Styela clava: one gene and its partner. The protein of the gene in region 1 purifies or fractionates together with the protein of each later gene. This does not show direct contact. Links are inferred from orthologs where the notes say so. Each region holds a gene or a part of one and is shown on either strand. Other genes may lie near its edges. The genes, in order: deubiquitinase OTUD6B-like and ubiquitin thioesterase OTUB1-like.

What was found.
Region 2: the proteins of deubiquitinase OTUD6B-like (region 1) and ubiquitin thioesterase OTUB1-like fractionate together in Homo sapiens (co-fractionation; 4 studies listed by BioGRID and IntAct, with this or other methods). This does not show direct contact. The link is inferred for Styela clava from reciprocal best matches to the Homo sapiens genes OTUD6B and OTUB1.

What each region holds. Positions count from the first base shown.
Region 1 is NC_135255.1:3,218,293-3,224,893, reverse strand, and holds deubiquitinase OTUD6B-like, read right to left. Parts: upstream 2,329-6,601; coding exon 1,429-2,328; 3' UTR 554-1,428; downstream 1-553. Other genes in the region: phosphatidylinositol N-acetylglucosaminyltransferase subunit Q-like, read right to left, coding at 1-514; splicing factor YJU2-like, read right to left, coding at 3,120-3,632, 4,026-4,520.
Region 2 is NC_135260.1:14,936,723-14,944,479, reverse strand, and holds the start of ubiquitin thioesterase OTUB1-like, read right to left. Parts: upstream 3,143-7,757; 5' UTR 3,083-3,142; coding exon 3,004-3,082; intron 2,365-3,003; coding exon 2,303-2,364; intron 2,097-2,302; coding exon 1,998-2,096; intron 1,603-1,997; coding exon 1,484-1,602; intron 1,149-1,483; coding exon 1,064-1,148; intron 263-1,063; coding exon 68-262; intron 1-67. Other genes in the region: NAD-dependent protein deacylase sirtuin-5, mitochondrial-like, read right to left, coding at 3,781-4,677; protein SCO1 homolog, mitochondrial-like, read right to left, coding at 5,279-6,115. UniProt on the Homo sapiens protein: Hydrolase that can specifically remove 'Lys-48'-linked conjugated ubiquitin from proteins and plays an important regulatory role at the level of protein turnover by preventing degradation.

The DNA of each region.
Region 1 (6,601 bases):
AAATCAAGACAAACAAATTTTCAATAGAACCATTGGAATTGTGTACATTCAAAAACGAATCTGAGCAAAGTTCACCATCCCAGATGTCTTTCTGGTTGTAAATTACTGCCATAACATCTGCATTAGTTTTTACATATTGATTTGTTAATAATATCGATGATGCACTGATATTTTGTATTTCAAGATCCTCAGCTGTAAAAACGGTTTCATCATCACTGTTTTTTGACATCTTTATGGAAATCCATGTCTTTTGTCCAAAGAGTTTTGGTAGTATATGTTCAAATTCATGTTTCTCCTTGGATTCATTAGAAATCCAAGTTCCCAAGGGACGTAGTTTGACAGTATCATGCAGTTTTTCATATTTAGAAAGGTAAGCATTCAAACTCTTTGGTGTAACGGGAAAGTGTACAACGGCAACAACATATAATACAGTGTCGTCATCATTTGAAGCACCAATCAATATTCCTGATTGTGAACGGATGCAACATTCCGGTAGAAATATTTCCTTCAACATTTGAACTCAGATTCTTGCATCTAGATAAAGTTTCACGCACTACTGTTCATGCCCATTCAGTAAAAACAACAAAAAAAACATGATTATGCCATTACGACACTGATTTAGTGAATCAAAAGCTTTATTAATGTTTAAAAATTCTTTATTCAATTCAAATGTTGTGGATGAATTGAAAAAAATTTCAAAATCTCCATTAACTTATATTAAATCTCACAATTGGATTTTAGAATCATACTATCTGGATGTATACAATCTTATCAGTATCTATTTAAGCAACATGATTGCTGATGAAAGCAGCAATATATAACTTCAAAATAAAAGTACTCTGCAATTATAGACTAGATCCACATCAGTATCAGTAAACTCAATTACTGACTGAAGTTTAAATTGAATCAGAAAGCAATAATGCTTGTTACGCACAATCTCATTTAAAATTTCACTACTCATGATAAGGATCTATAATGAAATATATAAGGGCTCTTCAAATTGAGGGTCCCGACCCCCGATGGGTTACGGAAGGGCTCAATGGAAGTAGCGGTATTTTTCATTATTATCAAGTACTGACAACTTACATTAAAACGAAATATCGATCAAATTTGGAACCAGTATTGAGACCCAAGCAAGATTCGACTTTTTGTGCGAGAATATGCAAGCACATCGATCTCATTAAAGGCATTATAAATTTTATTACCGGTACTTTATTTTAATATTTTCGGTATCATTAAATTTTACATTTTTTTTATTATAGTTACTGAGGGTCGTGAAGAAATTTTGCCATGCCAATTGGATCGTGATAAAAAAGTTTGAAGAAAACTGCATTATAAAACATATTCCAATTCGTCCGTTGAATAGACATGTGTGAGACTTTGTATCTGGCTATAAACCGTCATGCACAAAAAATTAACAACAATATGCTATGATAGTCCATTTGAATCAGGTTTTGATGGTTGAACTGAATTATAGTGCTCGCCCAGCCCCAGCTCATGTCTATGATATGTTAGTATTAGTGGATTTCCTTTATATTCCTCACCAATTTTTACAGTGGGCATGTCTGCTTGTATCACATGAATTGAAGTCTGTAAGATATGGGACAAAGCTCGCAGTTCCAATTGACCACCCCAAGCTGTAGTCTCTGCAACATCTTTGCAATACTGTTTGAATTCCTCAGGAGAATAACAATCGCCTGTATCAGAACTAGTTAGAAAAGGGGAAAAATCGTCTTCATGAGAAAGCATAAATGTTGATGTCAATGTTCTTAATTCTTTCGGTGAATGTAACATCATCAAATTCATCTTCAGCTGATCTACAACTGCATAATATAGACAATTACCATCAGGTATCATGGGCTTCACTTTTAGACTCATTTTTGTTAATATGGTCTTGATTTTTTCCTCTTCTGCATATCTTTGTGTGTTAACATAGTCCTTTTCAGCTTGTGCAGCAATTTCAGCTTGTTCTTTCACTTTCAAAGCTTTTTTTTCTCTCTTCTTTTGCGCTTTACTAACTCTTTGTTGAGAAGGTTCTGATCTGCCAGGTTCATCATTTTCATTAGTAGCCTTTGAAGTATCGGTCATATCCTCACTATTCATTAGCTCCAATTTTTCTGTCAATTCAGCAATTTCTTTATCATGTTTCTCATAAAGTTCACTTTCAAGAATTGCAATTTGTGCTTTCATCTCTTTGTTTTTCTTCTTATCTCCTTTCGGAACTCCCTTTTTCAAGGATTGAATTTTCCCTTGCAATTCTTTTTTCTCCAATTTATGCCTGGCAGACAATGCCTCCTGTGGATCATCGATATCCTCGTTATCTGACATCTTCTCTTTAAATAGAGAACCCAGAAATTACAATCCTGAAAAATAACAATATTGACTATTATTATAGGCAATAAATTATTTCTTACAGACTGCAAAATGAGAATTTTTTAAATATTGATCTCGATAGCTACAAATAAAAGGACCTGGATTGAATATCACACTCAGAAGAAAGGTGCACATCCTAATAATAAGTGATAGACTATTACCCTTGAATTGTTATCTATGTTCAACCAAATATGTCAAATGGACTGACTTGTAGTATTTGTGGCAACGCACAAAACACTATTTCAAAAATCTGTATTTACAAAGCAGCACATATTTATAACAAGCAAAATGAAAATGCCGATTGTCAAAAACCAACAAATGTGGTCTTTTGCATTAGCGGACAAAAATGAACCTTCACACATTTAGAAAAATAGGATGTTTGATAGTAAGCAAAAAGGGTCATAGTCTGGTTTAAATCATGACTTAATGCTAAAAAAGTCAATATAAATTTCATCTCAGTCCTACTTCCAGTCCTAAGCAACCTTGACTCTTGTCGAGAAGAATATAAAAAACAAATGTGAGTGAAAAAACTCGTTAGAAGTCCCTGATATAAATTACAATTAACATTGCATTAACCTACGCTAAAGCGTATCATATGGTTTCATAGTAAAAAAGTAATGGATTTAACTTGAATCACGACCCAATGTTTGTATAAACTTATTGTCAGCCTGGATGCATAATTCTTATTTACAAATTTGTGCAGGAATATGCAGGTATGATTGAATTCATAGTTGAAAAAATACATTCTAATCATCATCGCTGGATGTGTTACTATCATCACTTCCATAGGCTCCGAGCAAACTAAGCCCAGCCGGTTTGGCTAGTACAGTATCTTTTAGAGTTTTCTCAGTTTTAATCACTGACATTGTTTTGGTTAATTCTGATTTATCCTCAGATTGATGATTAAAATTATCTATTTTTGGGAATTTTTCGATCGACTTTTTTACTACAATACCCAAAAGCTGGGCCTTTTTCTTTATAGTATCCTTATTAGAAGGAACAGAAGAAATACTTTTTGTGCTTTTATTAGTAATTTTTGTTTCTTCTGATGACAATAATAAATCGGAAGGGGCATTAATTTCTTCTTTCACAATATTCTTAACATCAGATTTGTCATCTTCATCATCACTATCATTCAGTCGTCTTATTTTGTTACTCCCAAAAATAGTCTTCATTTCTTCCTCATCTTCTTCTGCTTCTCTCTTTTTTTTTTCTTCCACTGTTTCTTGATAGCTCTGTAGCATTCCTTCGTAATTGACCTAGATACACCAAGAAATTCATATAAATTAGAAATATTCACTCTCCTCATTGCACAGGGATGGACAAATCTAAATAGTAATGTAAAGTTTTACTTTGTGACTTCAAAATCTGTGATACTAAAATTGCTCAAAATAATAATTTTTCGAATGGGACATTCTAAATTAATCCAGAAATCAATTTTAAATTATTATAAATATTTAATTTGTTTTTTAACATTCTAGCCCTCGACAAACATGAAATTTTATAAACACCTCATTGTATGCTATTTATTTAAAAACTGGGAGTCAAATAAAATTTACAAGATACAAATATAATATACAATATGGAATAACCACAATCTTATGAAGTAACAAATTCTTCAATGTCATCGAACATCATATTGAAAATCCTACCTTAGCATGTCGTTGATTGAGATCTCTTAATTCTTCAAGATTTTCCATTCTCTCCATTTCTCTTTTTGAGTCCCTTGTTCTCATTTCAAGCAGTTTCATTGGATTTCCTTCATCTTCTTCCCTTTGTTTCTCGATTTCTTTCTCTTGTTTTTGGAGAAGTTTTTCTGCCTCAAAATTTCGAGTGGCACCATGTTCAATGACATAATCTGTATTCTCAGGATCAGTTTTGAATGTTATTTCAGCAACACATTTTGTGCATTTGATATAAAATCGAAAAATTCTCAAACCAAGATAATCATCATCTTGGACAGTTTCTTTTCTTGAATTAAATTTTGTTCCTTTGTAAATGTAATTTCCACAAGTCTTACACCGCATATGAAAAGGTGCCATAACACGTATTACATATTGTCTATCTTTAGCTAACTTGAGCTTGGGTATCAATGAAGGATCATAATCCGGGGGATAGTATTTGTTGAGAACTTTTCTCTCAGACATGGCGGATCAAGACGATATTACCAGCAATATCTGAATATACTGTACCGTAGTCTACTTGCTCAAAATATAACGCAAAAAATAAACAAATTTTACTCAATAAATGCTTGACACAATGACTCACAGACCCACAAAAATGACAAAAAATATTTTTAACAAATTTAACAAAAAGTTCTCAATACAACGACTTTCAAATTTTATAGTATCAAACAGTCCAATTATATTATGGCGCAGCGGTGTGGCTCAACGGGCTAAGCGTTAGGAATACGCTCGCCACCGCACCTCTAATCACTCTGCAAGTCCAAGTCCATGCTTCTGAAAACAAACAATATAACTAATCTCATACCCGACTTGGAATGGTAACTGGACGAGAGGCCGTGTTTCGCCATATGGATAAGCCGTCTTATCGGCTTTCCTCTCCCCCGGGATAAATATGTAAATCCTATCCTATCTCAGACCCCCGTCTCGCAAACGGAGCGACTACACGTTGCATCGTCGCAGAGTAGTGTTGCGATTGCGATCCTGGTATTTTTTTTGCCAAATAAATTCCAATGGACCTTTCCCCGAGCATCGACTTCCTTGTTTACCTCGTGACATTGGCTAATCAGCAAGATGTAAAAAGTGACGTAACAATACCCCATTTCCGCATCCGCTCAGACACTTTTCTCACAGATTGTTGTATGCGATGAATCATAATGATGGTTTGAAACATATACCCCAGTTGACAGGCGCCAACTCGCAAAAGCACTCTTAAAATAGCCCCGGAAATTTTGCAATGGTAAAGTATAAGAAAAATTTTCCGGGGGTCAAAGGTCGGGGAAAGATCCATGTCAAAACAGAATTGTTGTATCGAGAATTTAGAAGCCAATCGTTATATTTTAAATATATATATTTTTTTTGTCAAGTGGAATATCGAGTTCGGAATACAAATGTATTATTTGAATTCCGTTTCGGTGGAGAAAAATAGGTATACAATACCCATACAAAGATTACATCATATTTCACATATTCCATATCAGCAATTCATCGTAGTTACAATTCAGTTGTCTCAAATTCATCACGGTGAAAATAATTAGATATATTTTATATTAGCATGGAAAAACAAAATTTTTAAAGATTAGACAGAAAATATGAATATCTATCATGCCAATAAGATTTTCCTATTTCCTGTCTAACAACAGAATCTAGCAAAAACCCAACTAATAATATCCTATAAAAAAATGCAACATTAATTAAACATTTCACATGTATTTGAATTGAAAAAAAATTTCAACTTATTATGGATCATCAAGAAAATTTTGTCTGTCAAAATTCGACATTAATTTGATAACCCCCAAAATCTTACATTTCATTTTTGGACACGAAATGGACATAGCGATCGTTTTGTTTTATGTTGCGCTTATCTTGTTGTTTTGAAGAAATTGCTTTTCTCTTTGATTACTGAACCAATTGCTTTGAAATTTTCAGTGGTTAAAGATAGAATTTTTCTCCAGGAGGCTATTATCTTAATTTATTTCAAAATTTTCTACGGACTTCAAGAGATTCGTTTTTTGTGTGCGAATTGGTAATCAGAATGAAAAATAGCGGCATCTTGTGGCGATTGCGGCGAAGAAGCAAACGTGATTCTTGCTGCTAAGACGAAGAGTTGTTGTGATCTGCGCGGTACAGGGTTGCCATATTGGCTTTTTTAACGCCAAATTTGCCATTTTTGGCTTTTTTCAAACGCGTTTGGCGTCAGAATTTCCGTTTGGCTTTTTGGCGTTTTCTTGGCTTTTTTCAAGTCTATTCTAGTGTCTATTATTAGAATCATATGAAATACAATATTTAGTGTGTAACAACTGAACAATAGCCTATTACCTGTACTTAGCTACTTAACATTAGGATTTCCTGGAACATCGATTTCCTTGTTTGTTACATTGACTCTTAACCATACCGAATATTAGATAATTGCAGTTTCTGCAGCTGCTCAGACAGATGTTCAAGCAGGGTTGTAAACATTGCCTCGTTTTTATAGTTTTGCGTGTTATTTGTCAGTTTTACGTTCTGTTTCCAAAAAATAGTTGTATAACCTAATTTTCATTATG
Region 2 (7,757 bases), on another chromosome or scaffold:
AACTGGATCAAAATGTTCCTAACCACTAAAATTGCCCAATAGAAGAAATGATAATTATTGAATTTACCCCTTTACAGAAATCTTCAACAGTTCTATACTCATCAACAAAATTCTGAAAAAATTCACTGTTTTGTTGTAAATGACTTGAAGTAACCAATCGTAAATAAACAACTAAATAATTAGAGATTCCTTCATCTCTGAATGTTTGCAAAAGTTCTTCTACCGTTATTCCAGATCCTACAGAATCCACAACTGATATAAACTGAAGAGAAAAAAATGAAATAAGGCAATGATCAATGCAAACTATTTCACAAACTCCCCTGAAAGTTTACTATGCAATTAACATGGCATCTTCGGCAAAAAGCATCAGTTTAATCACATAGTGTAACATGGCCTCTCGTTCGCTCACATGTCGATATGGCTGTAAGGATGGGCAATGTACAATGACTTACTATTCTAAAATACTTCAATCCAATCATATTCTGTTTCCATAGTTACCAATATTTGTGTGAGTGAGAATTCCCCATCACATTGCTTGATTAAAAATTTAAAAAAGTAAAATTGTAGCCTAATGTATTACTATCTTTTTTGTACATTTTATTTCATTCCAAACAGGCATTTCTCAGGACAATGAAATTCAAGAGAAGGCGTGTCATAAAAGTACAGTATTTGAATTACGACACTCGCAAATATTATTTGATGTTAATTGATCGTAAACATTGTTATAGCATTTAACATCTGGCTTTCCGCGAAAAACCATTTAATGGAAAATGAAACATGGTAAAGTGAGTATCGCCAAGTGAGATAGTAAAGTCGGAAAACGCGAAAATGTAGCAATAAAGAGTACTCGTTGTGGTATGTTTGCCGTTTTTACGCTCGTCTTAGTTTCAATACGTAGAAACCGGTAATAAAAAAATTTACGCTTGGAACCGAATCCTGTTCTCAGATCCTTCTGGATTCGAACTCCAGACGATTCAGTATTCTGAATTGACCCGGTATGGGATTGGCTAGTGAGTTAATTGTTTCATATGCATGGGCTTAATGCTATATTTTCGAAACTTACTTGATCATGAAAATCTTCCACAGTGAATGAAGGATAACCTAATTTTTCTAATTTGTCTTTGGTTTCTGAAGCTTTTGCTCTGAACCTGGTGCAATAAAGAGCAACACGTTGATAATCAATCTAGTATATTATATACAGTAATAAATTCTTTGATTAGGATTAAGGAGTCATTTATAGGGATATTTTTATGGAAGTAGGCGAAGTACTAAAGTCTTCTTGATTCGTCATAGGCTATTTATGACAACCAGAGTGTGTATTTGAAATATTCCATGAGACTAGGCGGTTAGTGCATGATGTTAAGTGTGAAGATTGCGCAGCACTTGTGAACTGTAAATCTTTAACATGGCAATCTCCCAAATTATTAGATTGTTGCATATATCTGTTGTGTGTGTCTTCATTTGCAATGTGACAAAATCTTACCCAGAAAAACAATCTTTATTTTGCAGCAGATACTCAAGATAACCAAACCCAAAAGCTCTATAGAAACAATTACCATCTCCCCTTGTCTTCCTAACATGGCTGTACTTCTCTGAAAGAATCTGAAAAATTTGTGAAAAGTACAGTTATCAAGAATGCCATAATAAATGTAATGATTCCCTATTTTAAACTGGATAAAAATAAGGAGAAAATGTATTTGATATGCTTCAAATATATACATAAACATTTCTTTATCACAGTATTCCAATCTAATAGAATGTGTATGCTCAAAAACCACTTCTAAATAATTTACACAAGACACAATGTAAAATTTATGAACATGGGGTTTTATTTGGTGTAGAAATTTCCTCATTTGTGGTAAATCCATACAAGTATAGCTATTAGTGTTACTTCCATAAATTCAATAGCGGGCAACAAAAATATAATCCAAAAAAGCAATATGAATTCTGAATTAAACGAGCAATTTTCTAACTATAGGAAAGCTAACTAACAATACCTTCACTTTTTGTAAATATACAGCATCATCTTCAGCATATTCGTTTTGTAGTTGCATGATTTCCATCTTATCACTAACCAATTCGTTTTCTTTTGCTATCTGTTTATAAAACGGAAGAAATATGAGGATAGTAAAAACAATGAATTGTTCATCCCTGGTGACAGCGACTCTGTTGTCCACAAATGAAGATAGATTTGACAGCATGAACACTTATGAAATAACGGTTCCAGATAGTTTAGCAAATCATATATGCCATATTTGTTCAAAAACTATCTTAAACAGAGCAAGAAAAAAAATTGTCTTACATCTTTCTGTATTTGATTATGCATTGCATATATCGCTTCATCAATTTCCTGGTTTTGCATTGCTGGAAAATGATAAGTGAATATATTATACAAAAAAATAGCAAAAGCATCGAAGTGTAAGGTACAATTCCCTAATCCTCGTGTCATGGGTCATCCAAGTTGATCTCCGAGTTTTGGTATCACTGTTGATTACAAGTTTGAGTCATTTCATTTAGCTGACTCTAGGACACCGGTTCTCAACTAGAGGGCCATGGCCCACGGAAACATTTTTAGATGGGACATCAGTTATTGATGAATTGGTATCATTTACCGGAATTGAGTGGTAATTTTCATTTTGATTAAAAAAGTGGCATTGTCTATTTTTGCAGGGAGGAATTTTTTTTTATTTAGTTTTTCTCTTGAATGAGAAAGTTGCTGGGCCACAGAATTGTTTTTGTGCAACGAAAGTGCGCCAGAAAAGAAAAAAGGTTGAAACCATTGCTCTCGTCTCTTTGATTCATTAATGAATGCTTACGCTGGCCTCTCCAATACCAGGGGTACCCTTCTTCTATTTGAAATTAATGGTATAATAAATCCCATTCCAGTAAAATTTTCTAGGTATTTACCATGGCTACTACATATCTAGTTGAATCTGAAATATACGAAGTTTAAAATGATAATAAAATCCCTTAAAATCAAAACTTCATGTATATTCATTATACCTTGTAAAATTGCACCATCCGAATCACTTGTGTCCTGTTTGACTTCTTCATCGGATTTACTATTACTGGTTGCCATCATGAGATGGAATAACAAAGAATTATTTATATTCTGCTAAAAGTCAAGCAAGTAAAATTACAGAGAAAGATAAGCTATTTAACACAGTCTATAGATTGCACTCTGGGCATTTTAAGCATATGTATTATAAAATAATCTAGAACTAGACATGTGATTGAGGAAGGTTTTTAGAAACGATTATAAAATTTTTCTTATATATTTCTGTGATATGATACGAAGAAAAGTTGAGAATGCCTAGCCATGACAATGTCATACTATTGACTATTGAGGGACATTGATATAATATGCAATTTATGTTTATGGGACATTGGGACAATAGTAACATATACTCCATTTATAATATTTTATGTGATATGATTTGAATCAAAGACATCCAAAAAAGACTAACATAGTTAAGCATAAACAATAGCATCATTTTAATACATTGCTCTGTATTATTAACATGATGTGAACGGTATTTCTAATTGCACTATATGAAATATTTAAAAGGTATAGATTTTATCATCAGGTTACATATGCTCCCAGCAAAAAGCAGCAATTTACAAAGTGTTGTACCATAAGATGCAATAAGTACGGAGTAAAAATGTATAGGAGAATAATTAAAAAAAAGTGCTATCATAAAACATATGGAAGATAAATTACATGTTGACTGCAATATATTTGCATCATATACAAGTGTCAATTCGACCTCAGTTAGCAGATCAAGGGGCTAAGGCTTTTGGTATCCACTCTCCCGCAGGACCACAAAAATGGTATTTAAAGTTCATGGTTGCAGGTGTATCCTCCAAATTGAACTCCGCCACAGTAACACCACGGTAAGATAACATCGGAGCAAACATGGCAGCCGGGTAAACAACAGACGATGTACCAACAACCAGACAAAGATCACATTTTTCAAGTTCTTCGCCTGCTCGCTCGAGAACTTTTTGATCTAGTCCTTCACCAAACCAAACAACATCGGGCCTCAATAATCCATCACAACTTTTACATTTCGGCAAATTTTCGACTGGTATTTTTGCATCTTGAGCAGTTGGGTCAGGAGCACCCCGATCTCTCAATGCCTCACAGATCGGAGAATCTTTGTTCACATCCACTTTTCCACACTTTGTGCATCGAACTCTGAACAATGATCCATGTAATTCAATAATGTTTTCAGATCCTGCTGTCTTGTGGAGCTCATCTATATTCTGAGTAATGACAGTTAATTTCCGAGCATTACTCTTCAAACGACTTTCGCATTCTGCGATAGCCAAATGCGCAGGATTTGGATTTTTTGTTATCATGACTTCACGACGGTAATGATAAAATTCCCAAACTAATGATGGATTAGATTCAAATGCTTTTGGTGACGCTAAATCCTGAGCCTGCCATTTTCTCCAAAAGCCACCAGCTCCGCGGAATGTGGGCACCCCACTTTCTGCACTTACTCCTGCGCCAGACAGCACAACAATATTCTTTGCTCGTTCAAACTCTGCACGGAAAGCAGCCAAATCCGAACTTGGTCTTGCTGCTGCCATGGTGTAAATAGATATCGAAGACTTCACAATTTGGTGTAAAATACTTTTACATGAATTAGAGAAATGTAGAAAACATTTCATACTATTATAGCACTAAATTAGTACTAGTTTCTAAATTAAAAAACCATTATTTGCCATTAATAAGAATTTTAAAAAATATATCATTTTGCTAAGATAGGTGATTGCTACTTGGGTGCATTATCCTATTTGGTAAGAGATAGTGTTTGAACATATAGACGAGGAGCTATAACTGAAAAAAGGCAATATGCAACATATGCATATAATAAAAGGTCGCTGCTAAAACCAATAATAAATTATTAGCAGAGTTCTATAAGATTGTAAATCGATAGTATCCAACAGCATGAGATTTTCATAACAAGATATATTCAATTAGGTTCCATTACATTTGAACCCACGTACATTTGAACCCATGACAATTGCTCCTGTATGCTATTGCACCTATGGAATTTTTTTTGTTAGTTAAACCCATACTAACCCTAACCCATGGGTTTTAGCACCCGAATATAGATTGAACCTGTGGATATACGCATGGGTTCAAATGTACGTGGGTTCAAATGTACGGTCACCATTCAATTTTGCCCGAATTTCATTGTTTCTATAACGAAGATAATGCTTTGCATTTTTCAGATAAGAATCTACTTGATAATAAATTAGTTGTTTTTCAATCTTTGTGCTTGAATTTTAACATTATTGAAGAAATACTTGAAGACATTTCTCCTGCTGATTTGTTTTGACCAAAATATTCACAAAATTCCCCATCAGGATTTAATAAATACATTATCACAGTATGGTCTACAATATAATCATCTTCCGAGTCTTTTGGACCTTCAGCATAATAAACTCTAAAAGCTCTTGAAGCATTTTCAACTTGCTCACGATTTCCAGTCAAACCAATAAGATTAGGATGAAAATCAGCAATATATTTTTTAACAGCATCAGGAGTGTCTCTGTCAGGATCAATACTTATAAATAAAGGTTGAACGTCTGGCAACTGCGGAGTTCTCTTGATTGTATCAACAACATTTCCCATTTTTTCTAGTTCTTCAGGACAAATGTCAGGACAGTGGGTGAACCCAAAGTAGATAAGAACCCATTGACCTAAAAAGTCGCGATTACTGCATTGTTTGCCGTCTTGATCTATAAGAGTAAAATCTCCCCCTAAAGCTGGTTTTCCCATTGACTTTATCATATTAGATTCAAATTTCTCTTCTTTTTTCGACTTGAAATGCTTCATAATAAGGATAGAAATAGAACCTACAGTTGCAATAAACAACACAGACATCCAACCTACACCAGGTGCTAGTGTTGGCGACCTACGTTTTCGAATTGGAAAATATAGTCTTCCTGAGGTAGAGAATTGTTTTTGAAATACTTTTGTTCTTGATGGATTTACAAAGTTCAAACATATATTTTTTGACTTGGCCAATGTTCCGTAAGTACGATGCTGTATGGCATAGCAATGTGGGGATATAGTTTTTAGCAAACACAGTAACCTCATTCTTATATGTTTCTACACAAAAATAAAACAAGTATAGGATTTTCATATTTATCTTGAGGGAGAAGGAAACACAAATAGATGACTTATCATATGGCATACCACAACCTCTCATCTGGTTCCTCGTTCATGTTGAATATGGGGTTAGTTTCGATAGCCAGTTATTTGTTTCAGACGCATGGACTTGACAGTGGCAGTACGGCACACTATCCAAATTCCAAGAATGTCCCGTCATTTGGTTCAATAAAACAAACACTCCATGTGTCTCACAAACGAGGGGGCGTCTGGCACGACGGTAGATGGATAATTATCTAAATTAATTGCATCCGTCATGTGACTAAAATTGCCATTTTTTTCTCAAAACTCTCGAATGCCACGGTAGAAAATATTTTCCTTCTGTAAATGGGATTATTTTTCCCAAAGGAATTCAATGATGACGTTTTTAAATTGTGCTTCTCTGTAGTTTTTTGCACAACTTCATATTGAGGGACAACCATGTCCAGACGTCCCCAAAGGAGGGGTGTCTGGTCATCTGTAAAACGGGTTTCTCTGAAATGAGACAATGTCGCTCGATCTGTATAGTGTGCCGTACTGAGTGAAGTCGTAACAGACTAGCGGGTAAATACATCGCACCTGTCATCAACGGATTAGGGAAACGCCATCAAAAATGGCTGATACTGTTATTTCACAATTTATTATGAGATTTGTCTCATATAAATAAATCTATACTCTCAGTCTCAGACTCTACTGCAAGCTACATACAGACATAGTCTAGCTCTGAGAATGCTAAATCAATAATTAATTATAAATATTCTATCAGCAATTATGCATCGAGGTAGACTAAGTGCTTGTGGACTTCGCATATGCAAACCAAAAATGTACATATAACCAACTTCTTATATAATGAAACTTGGAATGGTCACAGGCGTAGGCCACAATCATACAATCCATGGGATTATGATTTACATAATTATTATTACAGATAATTCTAGTCATTTCTGCATTTAAAGTTACATCTCGACAAACCAACCTGTTATTATTTAATGAAAATCCTTGCAACCTGTTACAAATGAGTGTTCAATCCTAAATCAGTGAATGCAGAATTTTGCAGAAATGTTCAATTCGCGTTTTCTCTCACTTGATGGGAAATGCTATATTTACTTTTGGTGCCTATTGTAATAAAATGCAATTTTCTTCAAATGCCAAAATATGTCACTTAAGTGAAGATATATATATCTACCAAAAAGAAAGCGGAACAACCAACCAATGAAATACAACTATTTTGTGACCACGCATCGGCGTAGTCTTTTACAAAGAACAAATAGCGAAGCACGAAATCGAACGCCCGCATTCTGACTGCCTTTTTACCCGGAGTGAGGTAATCAGCATCCAGATTTCCACTACCATACATATAGTCAATAGTCATACCAGCCAAAGTGCCTATAACACTTTGATACCAACGGCCGGCAACCAACTTGCCTAATGTTAAACAAGTTTGGGCCACATTTGGGAAACGCGAAACAATGGAGTCTTATGGAAAATTTTTGTCGTGTTGTTGTACCGAATCGAATAAGTCAGCTGTTATAAGGACTAGAATCGAAACCGACGGGTGGATTTTGAACTTTAAGATATATGCTATCTAAAT